Callithrix jacchus: one gene and its partners. The protein of the gene in region 1 interacts with the protein of each later gene in a pairwise test. Links are inferred from orthologs where the notes say so. Each region holds a gene or a part of one and is shown on either strand. Other genes may lie near its edges.

What was found.
Region 2: the proteins of LDLRAD1 (region 1) and MALL interact in binary tests that used the Homo sapiens proteins (3 or more experiments, as listed by UniProt). The two-hybrid records come from large-scale screens. The link is inferred for Callithrix jacchus from reciprocal best matches to the Homo sapiens genes LDLRAD1 and MALL.
Region 3: the proteins of LDLRAD1 (region 1) and BNIP3 interact in binary tests that used the Homo sapiens proteins (3 or more experiments, as listed by UniProt). The two-hybrid records come from large-scale screens. The link is inferred for Callithrix jacchus from reciprocal best matches to the Homo sapiens genes LDLRAD1 and BNIP3.

The regions. Positions count from the first base shown.
Region 1 is NC_133508.1:91,206,253-91,210,490, forward strand, and holds the start of LDLRAD1 (low-density lipoprotein receptor class A domain-containing protein 1), read right to left. Parts: upstream 2,801-4,238; 5' UTR 2,764-2,800; coding exon 2,743-2,763; intron 2,204-2,742; coding exon 2,152-2,203; intron 1-2,151.
Region 2 is NC_133515.1:21,272,423-21,275,922, forward strand, and holds part of MALL (MAL-like protein), read left to right. Parts: intron 1-1,521; coding exon 1,522-1,689; intron 1,690-3,500.
Region 3 is NC_133513.1:125,276,604-125,280,103, reverse strand, and holds part of BNIP3 (BCL2/adenovirus E1B 19 kDa protein-interacting protein 3), read left to right. Parts: intron 1-3,047; coding exon 3,048-3,198; intron 3,199-3,500. UniProt on the Homo sapiens protein: Apoptosis-inducing protein that can overcome BCL2 suppression. May play a role in repartitioning calcium between the two major intracellular calcium stores in association with BCL2.

The DNA.
Region 1 (4,238 bases):
AGTTCACTGCACACTCTAAGTCCTGGGCTCAAACAGTCCTCCTGCCTCGGCCTCCCAAAGTCCTGTAACAGCTGCGCACTGCTGTGTCTGGGCTGTTATTGCTTGTTGAGGACTTGCCACGTGCCAAGCTTTATTCTAAGCACTGGAAATCACAGTGATAGGGGATGTCCCTGCTCTTGTAAAACTGTACTTTAATTCTCTCCTGCTTACAAAATAATAACAGAAGCCTTTACTAAGGACCTCCTGGTGCCCCGCTGTGTGGCTCCAGCTCTGGTCCTTGCCCTCTGCAGCTTGTTATTGCACTTAGAAGGCAAAGCATGGACATGTCTGAAGGAGCGTGGGAGCTACTGACCTGCCCAGGCCACAGGTACCTCAGAGAAAGGGGCAGGGGCAGGTATGATTCACCCTGTGACCCCAGGACCCAGCCCAGAGCCAGGCACATGGTGGGAGCTTTTTTTTTGCGGGGGGGTTCTTTTTTTTTGAGATGGAGTCTCGTTCTATTGCTCAGGCTGAAATGCGGTGGCATGATCTCGGCTCACTGCAACCTCTGCCTCCCAGGTTCAGGAGATTCTCTTGCCTCAGCCCCCCAAGTAGCTGGGATAACAGGTGGCTGCCACCACATCTGGCCAAGTTTTGTATTTTCAGTAGAGATGGGGTTTCACCCTGTTGGCTAGGCTGGTCTCCAACTCCTGACCTCAGGTGGTCACCTACCTTGGCCTCCCAAAGTGCTGGGATTACCGGTGTGAGCCACCGTGCCAGGCCCAGAGATTTGTGAACACTCTGTGAATATGCTAGCCCAGGGGTCCAGGAGACAAGGGAAGGCCCCCACTATGGGTCAGTTATTTTCAATCCATTCACATTTCTGATGCAGGGTCCTCAGAAGCCGGGTGGGATTTCCACAGGCAGGTAAGGGAATGGTGCAAAGAAAGGGGCTTCCAGGCAGAGGGCGTGGCAAGTGGAAAGGTCTGGTGGTTGCAGGTGGGGGAGCACAAGTGGCCTGGCGTGGCGGGGCTCCAGGATGGATGTGCGCTGGGAGGGATACGATGGTATTCAAGGCAGCAGGAATCTAAAACCCCGTCATCCCTACAGCCCTAGCTGGTGGCTCTGTGGCCGTCAGCAAACAGGGTAAACTCAGGTAACCAGGGAGGCAGCGTGACTCTGGGCAGGGAGAGGTGTGCTGGTCAGCCAAGCAGCTCCTCAAATATTTGTGCAGCACAGACCACGTGCAAGATGTTGCCACGGGAGAACCGGCAGAACCAAGGCTCCTGCCCAGGTGAAGCTGTTGCGCTTCAAAGCCAGAAAGCCCTTAGGTGCCAGTCCCTTCCCTGCACAGATGAGGAAAAGGAGGCTATTCTTGCCACAACCACACCCGTCATGAGTCAGGACTTGGAAAAAAACAAACACCGGTATGCGGCAACAAAAGCCCTGGGGCTTTGTAACCAGAGAGACCTCAGTTCACATTTGAACCCTGGCCCTCCGGCCTCCCCGCTGTATGACCTTGGCCTGGTTACCCAACTTCTCTTAGTTTCAGCTGCCTTATCTGTGATTGCCCCATGACAGAGCCCCTGTCTCAGAGCTGTCCTGGGGATTAAAGGGGCCATGCAGTGCCAGGCACATAACTGTACTGGGTCCTTTATAGTTGGTATTTTCATCTACCTCTCTGGGTGTGTCTCCTCATTGATCAAATGTGGGCCACGCCAGGGCATATACAATGCTCAATACATGTCTGTTTCTTCCTTCTATCTTCAGAAGGGTAAAGAGAACTGTTCTGGTCACACTGTGGGCCAGCGGCACATAGTAGGGCTAAATAAATGTGTCTCAGAGGTAAAGAGAATTGTCCAGGTCACCCACTGAGTCAGTTTGATGCTGTATTACAGGTGGGCACTGAATGCAGTTTGGTGCCTGTGAGGTCGGCAGCACACAGTAGGTGCTTAATAAATATGTGTGCATGGAGAGAATGAATAACCCTATTAAGCAAGTGACTGTCAGCATCTGACCAGGAAGCTGGGAGCAGACAACATTAACATGGGGCAGAGGTCTGAGGGGCAGCGGGAGCCTGGAATCCTCCAACCTTCCTCATGCCTCTATAGCCAACTGCCAGCTTCAAGGGAGCCCCACAGGGCACTGGCCCTGGGCCCTTCAGTTCTTTACCTTCCCCTCCAGGGAGGGCCTTGGGTCCAGCAGCAATGCGGCCATTCTCTCCCTGCCCAAGAGAACAGAGTGAGGGGTGGGCTTAGGTGAGGTGAGGTCCAGCCTCAGGGAGGCAGACAGCAGGGCTTTCAGAAGGGGTCACCGAGAGTCTTCGGTGGCACCGTGGCTCCCTCACACCCCAGCACGCTCAACGCCCCAGATGCCTCATGCCGGCTTCCCATTTCCACACCTTTGCCTGCACTGGGCCCTCTGTCTGGGGCGCCTTTTCCTCTGCTGTCCACCTGGCAAATATTCATCCTTCAAACTGGCGTGGGCAGCGACTCCTCGGTGAAGCTTTCCCTGATACCCAGTAAAGCTAACGCTCTCCCTTCCTGTCCACCCGGCTCCTCTGTGTCCGTCCCAGCACTTGCCACCTGGACTCTACAGCTGGGTCACTGGTAGGGCCCCCTACACCCTGGGAGTGAGCCCCGGGCCAGGACGGGGGCTGATTTTCCTCCATGTCTCCCATGTATGCCCACTCTCTACTGCCCACACTCCTCATCCCAAGGTTTGCTCTCCCAAGATCAGGAGCCTGGTCCAGGCAGCCCTTACCTCGGGGAAGACCTTGTTCATGTCTTCGGCTTTCAGCTCCCTGACTGGGGCTGTGTGCAGAGAGCTCAGCATGGGTTCCCTGCCTTGTCACCAGGGGCAGCCTGGAGGAGGGACAGGCAGGAGCTTTGCCTGGGCCACACCCTCCCTGTGGGCAGCCCCCTCCCTCCCAGCTGCCTTCCAAGCAGAGGCAAGGGCAAGAGGGCCCTGCTCTGGCCAGGCTGTTTCCTTCTCTGCCGTCTGACAGCAACACTGCGAGGCTGGAATCCTCATCCCCATCCACAGATGAAGAGCCAGAGGTTCAGAAAGGGAGAAACTGCCCCAGGTCGCACAGTAGGTGGGAGGGGTGAAACCCAGAAACTTTTCAAGAGTGCTTTTTCCTCCGCATCAGCGAGAGAACCGGAGGAGCTCTGGTTCCAGGGGGATGAAGATGCAGGTAGAAACTCCCGGAATTAACATTTCAGTGGCTAGAAAGCAGGGGTCATTTTCTCATTGCTGTTCTTTCTGTTAAACAACACAGGTAATCCAGATTGAAAGAATATGCACTTTCCGCTAAAAGTATAAAGCAAATATAACTTTAAATTATTTTCTTTAGAAGTGTGGCAATGTGAATTTTTACTGTCCCTGAGGTGGCACCCGAAGTAGGGAAGAGGAGGGGGGCTGGTTGCTTGCCTGAATAACCCCTTCTACGCTCCCAGTGAGTGGGTTTCCCTAGCAGCCTGTCCCACTGCTGAGTAAACCTGGAAGCTTGAGGGCCAAGTCCAATGACCCAGACCAAGAAAGGAGAGATGGCTACCTCCAGAAATGAGCTCAAGAGTTCTAGGGAGGATCCCCTTTCACCTGCCTCTGACGCCCATAGATTTTCCAACCTGCAATCAGCCTTTTCTTTTGCTTTGGGAAATAAAATGCTGAATCCATGTGGGTGCAAGTAGGAGGGGCAGGTGCAGGGGCAGCCCTTGGGAGGCAGCAAGTAACACTGCGCAGAGCTGACACCTAGACCAGGAGAACGGGGCTCTCAGTAGGGCCCTACCACTGGCTCTGACTTGGGCAATTCACTCCCCTTCCTGTGCCTCCGATCCTTCATCCATAAAATGAAGATATAAACCAGATGAAGGGGGTGTTTTAGTTTAGGATTCCCCAGAATCAGACTCTAAGACAATATTCGAGGGCAAGTAGATTTAACTGGGAGTGATCCCAGGAAACAGTGGTCGGGGAATGAGGGAAATGAGACTGGAAAGAGAAGGATCCTTAAACGCAGGTTCCTGCTGTGGGCAAGTGGAGTTCAGCCCTGTTGGGGCCCTCGGGGAAGCCAGGGGCAAAGATGCACCTCAGTGATCCCTCTCAAGGTGGGGGGAACTGGGGTATTAATCTGCCAGCTCCTGCCAGTCTTGGTTGAGAATGGCCAGAGGAGGCCAGGCATGGTGGCTCACACCTGTAATCCCAGCACTTTGGGAGGCCAGGCAGGTGGGTCACCTGGGAGTTCGAGACCAGCCTGGCCA
Region 2 (3,500 bases), on another chromosome or scaffold:
ATTAAGGCTCCAGTGAATGGAATTTTCAGGTATTGAAAGTAGAATGAATACCAAGCAGGAGTAATAAAAAGATATACACATCTTGACACATTGTATCATTGTTTCACAAATTGTAGAATGCCAAAGACAGAGTGAAGACTAAATACAGCCAAATAACAAATACAGATTTCTACAAAGCAAGAGTTCAACTGACAGCTGACCTTTCAACAACAACAGTGGAAGCTAGAATGCAACAGAATAATATGGAAAAATATACAACACAGTGGAAATATATCTTGGAAGTGTGGAGAGAAAATAATTGTCAGGGGAAATTTAAGGTCATTTTCTTTTTTTTTTTTTTTAATTTTTTATTGGATTTTAGGTTTTGGGGTACATGAGCAGAGCATGCAAGACAGTTGCGTAGGAACACACATGGCAGTGTGCTTTTCTTTCCTTCTCCCCTTCACCCACATTTGGCATTTCTCCCCAGGCTATCCCTCCCCACCTCCCCCTCCCACTGGCCCTCCCCTTTTCCCCCCAATAGACCCCAGTGTTTAGTAAGGTCATTTTCTAATAAATCAAATTGACTACTCCCCACTGACCTTCACTAAAGAGACGACTAAAGGGTACATTTCAGAAAGAAAGAAAATTATCTCAGAAGGACAATCTGGGATGTAAGAATATCTTCATGACTCAAAATAGAGAAGAATTTCTTAAACTTGATAAAAAATATGATAAAGAAACAGATTGACATACTCAACAGCATTAAAATTATGGGCTTAGTTATCAAAGGAAACCATGAAGTATGTGCATGTTAGCAGCATAGATTTGCAATGTTTATGACAGTCCAAGAAAGCCGCACTATTAGCAAGAATTCCTATGAATCAATAAGAAAAAGAAAAATCTATTTTAAAATATTTCACTGACAAAAAAAACTTTATAGAGGAGAAAATATTAATGGCTAATGAATATACAAAAATAAGTTCTATGTCATTAGTAAACAATTCCACAGTGTCAGTGAGCAACTGGGAATGTGCCACAGCATGATGTGAGGTTAGTGGGGTAGGGGATATGGTTCACTGAGGACTCCAGGTCATTTTTAAAGAAACAGTCACTACTCATTCCAGCCTACTCTGGCCTGAGAAATGGGTACACTGTGGCCAGAACCATGGATTTTTAAAGAAATGTCCAAAATCTGGGCTTTTTTCATGTGAAATATCCTGTTTTAAATGTTGACAACTTATTCAGAATTGTTTAAAAGTGTATATGCCAATACTGCTTGAGCCAAGAAGGCACATTCACAGGCCAGACTTGGCCAAGAGTCCCTCTGTTCACAATCTCTGCATTAACCCCTTGAATTTTCTATCAATAGGACCTGACTTTACCGTGACTCGGAGGGGCCAAACTGACTTCCCCATTTCTCTCTTGGTTCCCTCCTCACTTCACCTGAGCTTTTAACTAGAGACAGAAAAGAGATGCCCTGCAAAGGGAAACATGCTCCACACTAGCTAATGAAGCTCCTTTTATGCTTTTATCTTCCAGATATTTGGGTTCTGGGTCTGGATCCTGGTAGCTGCCACCCAGGTAGCAAACCCATTGCTGCAAGGATGGGTGATGTATGTCTCAGTCACCTCGTTTCTCATCTCCCTGATGTTCCTTTTGTCTTACTTGTTTGGATTTTACAAAAGATTTGAATCCTGGAGAGTTCTGGTAAGAACCAGCAGCATGGCTCCTCCTGGGTGGACGTCCTGGGTTGGGTGAGGACAATTGGTCTTTCCAGGCAAATAGGGATACTGGGCTAGGCTCCTGTGGAACCAAGACTTTTTATCTTAATATGTTTACTACCAGGCCAAAATGAAGACATTTCTCTGCAGGACAAAAACTTTCCTTGTATTCCCCTTCACTGCCTTCCCTGTGAGGAGAATTTACAGTGCCTTGTGATAAAGCATATTCTGTTGTGTTTCCCCTAAATTTTCTTCCTGGTAAAATCCTTGGAGAAACACTGAAGAAAACGCTAGTAGGAAAAATATTACTCTAGTCTCAAGGCTCTATCACAATCTGTGACAAATTATTTCTTCCATCCCACATGAATTTTATATGTATATATAAATTATACTCTACAGATAATTTTGGATGTAGATGCTTTCATGTAATATTACATCATTAGTTTTTATGTTGTTGTATCATCTCAAAAAACCATTTAAAAGTATTCCATACTGAACAATTGAAGACATATTTAAAAGTACAGAATATTGTATTATAGCCCTTCATGTAGCCATAACCCAGATTCCAGTATTATCAAGATCTTACCACATTAGTTTCATCTAGCCTGTTTCCCTACTAAGGAATATTAAAGCAAACTCCAGACATCATGTCATCCTATTCCACATGCTTCCGTATGTTTCCAAAAAAACCCACAAACTTTCTCACATTATCACAGATATACAAAGTTAACAATTCCTCAGCATACCTAAGACAGTATACAGTGGTTCCCCCTATCTCTGGAGGATAAGTCCCCAGACCCCCAGGGGATGGCTGAATTCTCAGATAGTACTGAACCTCGATTATACTATGCATGCACTTCTCTTTCCTTCTTTACGATTTAACAGATAGACAATTCATTCTTACTGTAGATCTTAACGATCTCAGCGTATTTTTTTCTTTCCTTATTAAGTTGAAAGCTTTCACTTTTTCACTTAAAGAAAGCACTCTATGACTTCTCTTTGGCACATCCAAATTGCAAGCATCACTACTCTTGCGATGTGGGGCTATTATGAAGTAAAATAAGGTTTCCTTTAATGCAAGCATTGCAGTACCACAACAGTTGATCTGATAGCCTATTCACTTTGTAGATGGCTACAAAGTGAATAGCATGGATGGCATTGGCAGTGTGGATGTGCTGGACAAAGGGATGATTCAGGTCCCAGGAGGCACAGGGTAGAACAGCATGAGATTTCATGATGATACTCAGAAAGACACACATTTAATTGTTAATTTCTGGAATTTTTCATTTAACATTTCAGACCAAGATTGACACTAGAAAACCAAAACATACTGATCTTTATTAATCTGCCATTACTTACAACATAGATATTACATTTAAAACACAGTGTATTAATCTATTCTCACACTGCTATAAAGAGCTACTTGGGACTGGATAAATCCTAAAGAAAAGAGGTTTAATTGACTCATAGTTCCTCATGGTTATGGAGGCCTCAGGAAATTTGCAATCATGGTGGAAGGTGAAGGGGAAGCAAGGTACGTCTTACATGGCAGCAGGAAAGAGGGAGGAGGGGAATGTGTCATACTTTTAAACCATCAGATCCCTTGAGAACTCATTCATCATCATGAGAACAGCATAGGGGAAACTGTCCTCATGATCCAATCACCTCCAACCAGGTCCTTCCCTTGATACATGTGGATTACAATTGGAGATGAGATCTGGGGAGGGACAAAGTACCAAACCATATTATTAAGCCTTGGGCCCCTCCCAAATCTCATGTCCTTCTTACATTTAAAGA
Region 3 (3,500 bases), on another chromosome or scaffold:
TTCTGGAGCCATATGAGGTGCGGAGAGCGTGGTTAAGGTTGGGACATGTGGAGTGGCTGGGGGTCTGGTCGTGAAGAGCCTAGTTAGGGTTAGGGTTGGTACATGTGAATTTAGGGTTGGGGTTAGTTTTGGATTAGAGTTAGGGTTGGGTTTAGGGCTTAGGGTCTGGACATTTGGGATAGCTGGGGTTCTGGTCTATATGTCATTTCCATTTGGCTGCTCCAGAATTACTGTTTCTGGTAAATTGATAAATGTAAGTAAAGTGTTTTTCTGGATTCTGTGAGTTGTAGCAAACTGTTGAACCTGAGGGGGTGCGTGGGATCCCCTGAGTAGAGGGACGGGTAGAATTGTGGGTAATCTGGATGCCCCATTTTCAGCTTGCATCTGTGGGAGCAGTTTTGTGGGACTGAGCCCTTAATCTCGTGGGTTCCGACACTAACTCTAGGTAGACAGAATGGACGTGAACTGTGGACACCCCAGTGGTGGGGGTGACGGTGTTGAGTGGCATCGTGGAAGAGACACACAAGTTCCATTTGTGTTCCGTGTCATAAGATGAATAACCGTTCACCTTAGCCAAGTAAACTGAAGCAGGCCCAGAATGAGTGCTGTAGACTGAGCCTAGAAAAACAGCTGGCCAAAGCAGAGGCTGCGGTGCTGTTCCAAGGACCAGTTGGCCGCATGTCACCATCAACTCCAGAGGGAAGGAAGGCTAGTGGCATTGTAGTATCTGGAAATACTAATGAGATGAGCAGTTTCAGGGATGGTGTGATGTGTACATCTCTGATGGCACCGTGTAGCCTCTGCCAGAGTGTGGGGCCAAGTGGCCTGGGCCCTTCTCCAGTGAGCTCCAGGCTCCAAGACAGACCCAGGCCTGCCTTTGTCTTAGCGATGTTCGCGTAGGCCAGGACCTGAGGCAACGTGAGAGGCCAAAGAGAAGGATCATGCCTGCAGTTGGAAATCTGGGGTCATTTTGTTAGCAGCTTACTGGGAGGCTGCTGATGGTGTAAGTTGCAAATCCACATTTCCCTCCTGGGCCTTCGCTTTGCTTCTTTTCTGGCTAATATGAAATATACTCTGTGATAAGTGGCGCATTGAGGCTGAGCCAGGCCTCTTTCAGGAGATGCCTAGTTAGTGCGTGGAAAGCTGTGCACCTGCCTTTGCTTCCACAGAACGTGATGGATTAACAGGCTACTCCCTTCGCACAGTGGCATGGTGTTCTGTAGTGCTGTGTTGCTTTAAGGACAGTCAGCAGCTCCTGGTGCTTATTCTACTTAATACAATTATAGTGACTGCAAAATGAGATCATTCCATTGTTTTCGCACGTAAGTTTCTCAGGCTTTCATGGTCTGCCTGCACGTTCCTCCTCCTGCACTCCACCCTCCATATGCTACCAGAGGAAGCTTCTGCCAGATTTGCTTTAAATAAATAAACCTATGGCACAAAGCAGAAAAACTCCTGGGCTCAGAAATAGACCTGTGCATATATGCACGCTTGATTTCCGACAAAGGAAGCAGCCCGGAGCAGGGGTGAGGCGGGAGCTGTCTGCGGTAAATGGGACATTCGTTTCACATCAGTGGAAAAATTAATCCATGTAGATTCTGGATCTAAATGTGAATGTCGTAACAGAGCTGTGTGAAAGTCATAGAATAGAATATCTCAGCTCAGGAAGGATTGCTAAATTTGACTGAATTAAAATCTCTAGAACTTCTATATATCAGAAGACATGAGAAAAGTATGCGCTACTGAGTGAAAGTTACTTGCAATGTATTTAAATGAAGAAAAACGTATGTCTAGGATATAGGATTATCCTAGAATTACTGCACTTGAGCCATATGGGAATAGGAGCAGCGTTCGTTCTGGCCTCAGTTTCTATTTATAATGATGACATGGAAAAAATACTGCTGGATGCCCACAAATAAGAGAAGCACAGATAATAGAAAAGAACAAGAGATTTGAAGAGCCAGTTAAAAAAAAAATGCTATCCAGATGGCTAGTAAATGTGTAAAAAACGTGTTCACCCTCATTAGAAATTAAATAACTGCAAAGCCACACAATACAAGTAATAGAGGCTGGGCATGGTGGCTTGTGCCTGTGATCCCAGCACATCGGGAGGCCGAGCTGGGAGGATTGCTTGGGTCCAGAAGTTCCAGACTAGCCTGGGCAACATAGCGAGACCACGTCTCTTAAAAAAAAAAATAGCCAGGGATACTGGTACATGCGTGTAGTCCCAGTCATTCTGGAGGCATTGGCTAGAGGATGGCTTGAACCCAGGAGTTTGAGACTATAGTGAGCCTTGATTGTGCCACTGCACTCCAGCCTTGACCGCAAAGCGGGACCCTGTCTCTAAAAGAAACAAAAAATAGAGATAATATAAACCTTTGAAAGAAAACTTTAAATCCTTTAAGCTTACCTTTTTTTTTGACATGGAGTTTCGCTCTTGTTGCCCAGGCTGGAGTGCAGTGGCGCAATCTCGGCTCACTGCAACCTCCACCTCCTGGATTCAAGTGATTCTCCTGCCTCAGCCTCTTGAGTAGCTGGGATTACAGGCATGCATCACCACACCTCACTAATTTTGTATTTTTAATAGAGACGGGGTTTCTCCATGTTGGTCAGGCTGGTCTCCAACTGACCTCAGGTGATCCACCTGCCTCCGCCTCCCAAAGTGCTGGAATTACGGGTGTAAGCCACCACACCCTGGCAGGCTGTTTCTTATAAAATTCACTGTAAGGAAGTATTCTTCTAATTGGATTCTGGTGACTTGGCAGAGTTATTGGACATTGGTTTGGTATAAAGGGACCGTAAGAGATGGACAGATATGTGATCTCAACCCCAAGGGGGCTTCCTTCCTGTACCCAGGGAGAGCATGCATAGACCAGTCACTGCCATGCAGGTGGGCAGAGGGATGCCTTAAAGTTGGGGCTTAAGGGATGGTTCTGGGTGTGTCACATGCTACCTCTTGGAAATGGAAGGGCAGCTGGTTAGATAGGACGAACAGATTCCAGAATGGGTAGAAAATCCAGCTGTGCCCCTTTTTTTGTCCCCACCAGGCTCCTGGGTAGAATTGCACTTTAGCAATAATGGGAACGGGAGCAGTGTTCCAGCCTCGGTTTCTATTTATAATGGTGACATGGAAAAAATACTGCTGGATGCCCAGCATGAGTCCGGCCGGAGTAGCTCCAAGAGTTCTCACTGTGACAGGTAGGTCCACATCAACAAGTGTATGCGTTACAGTGCTAGTGTCTTCAGTAGGTGCCAGTCGCAGCTGGAAGTGCCTGTGTCACCTCTAGGCCCGGGCTGCCGCTCCCCTCAGGCCGTGTTCGGGGGTGGCTCCTGCTGCAGTCCAGCCTTATGTATAGGAGCCTTGCCCTCTGCGGGGAGGAAGCGACCTGGGACTTAGTCTGTGAAGGGGCCACGTTCGAGTCGGGAGTGAGCGTGACAGCCATCAACTTCACTCTGAGAAACGCACTCACGCCTCAGCGGGGCTGTGGTCACGGGTTAGC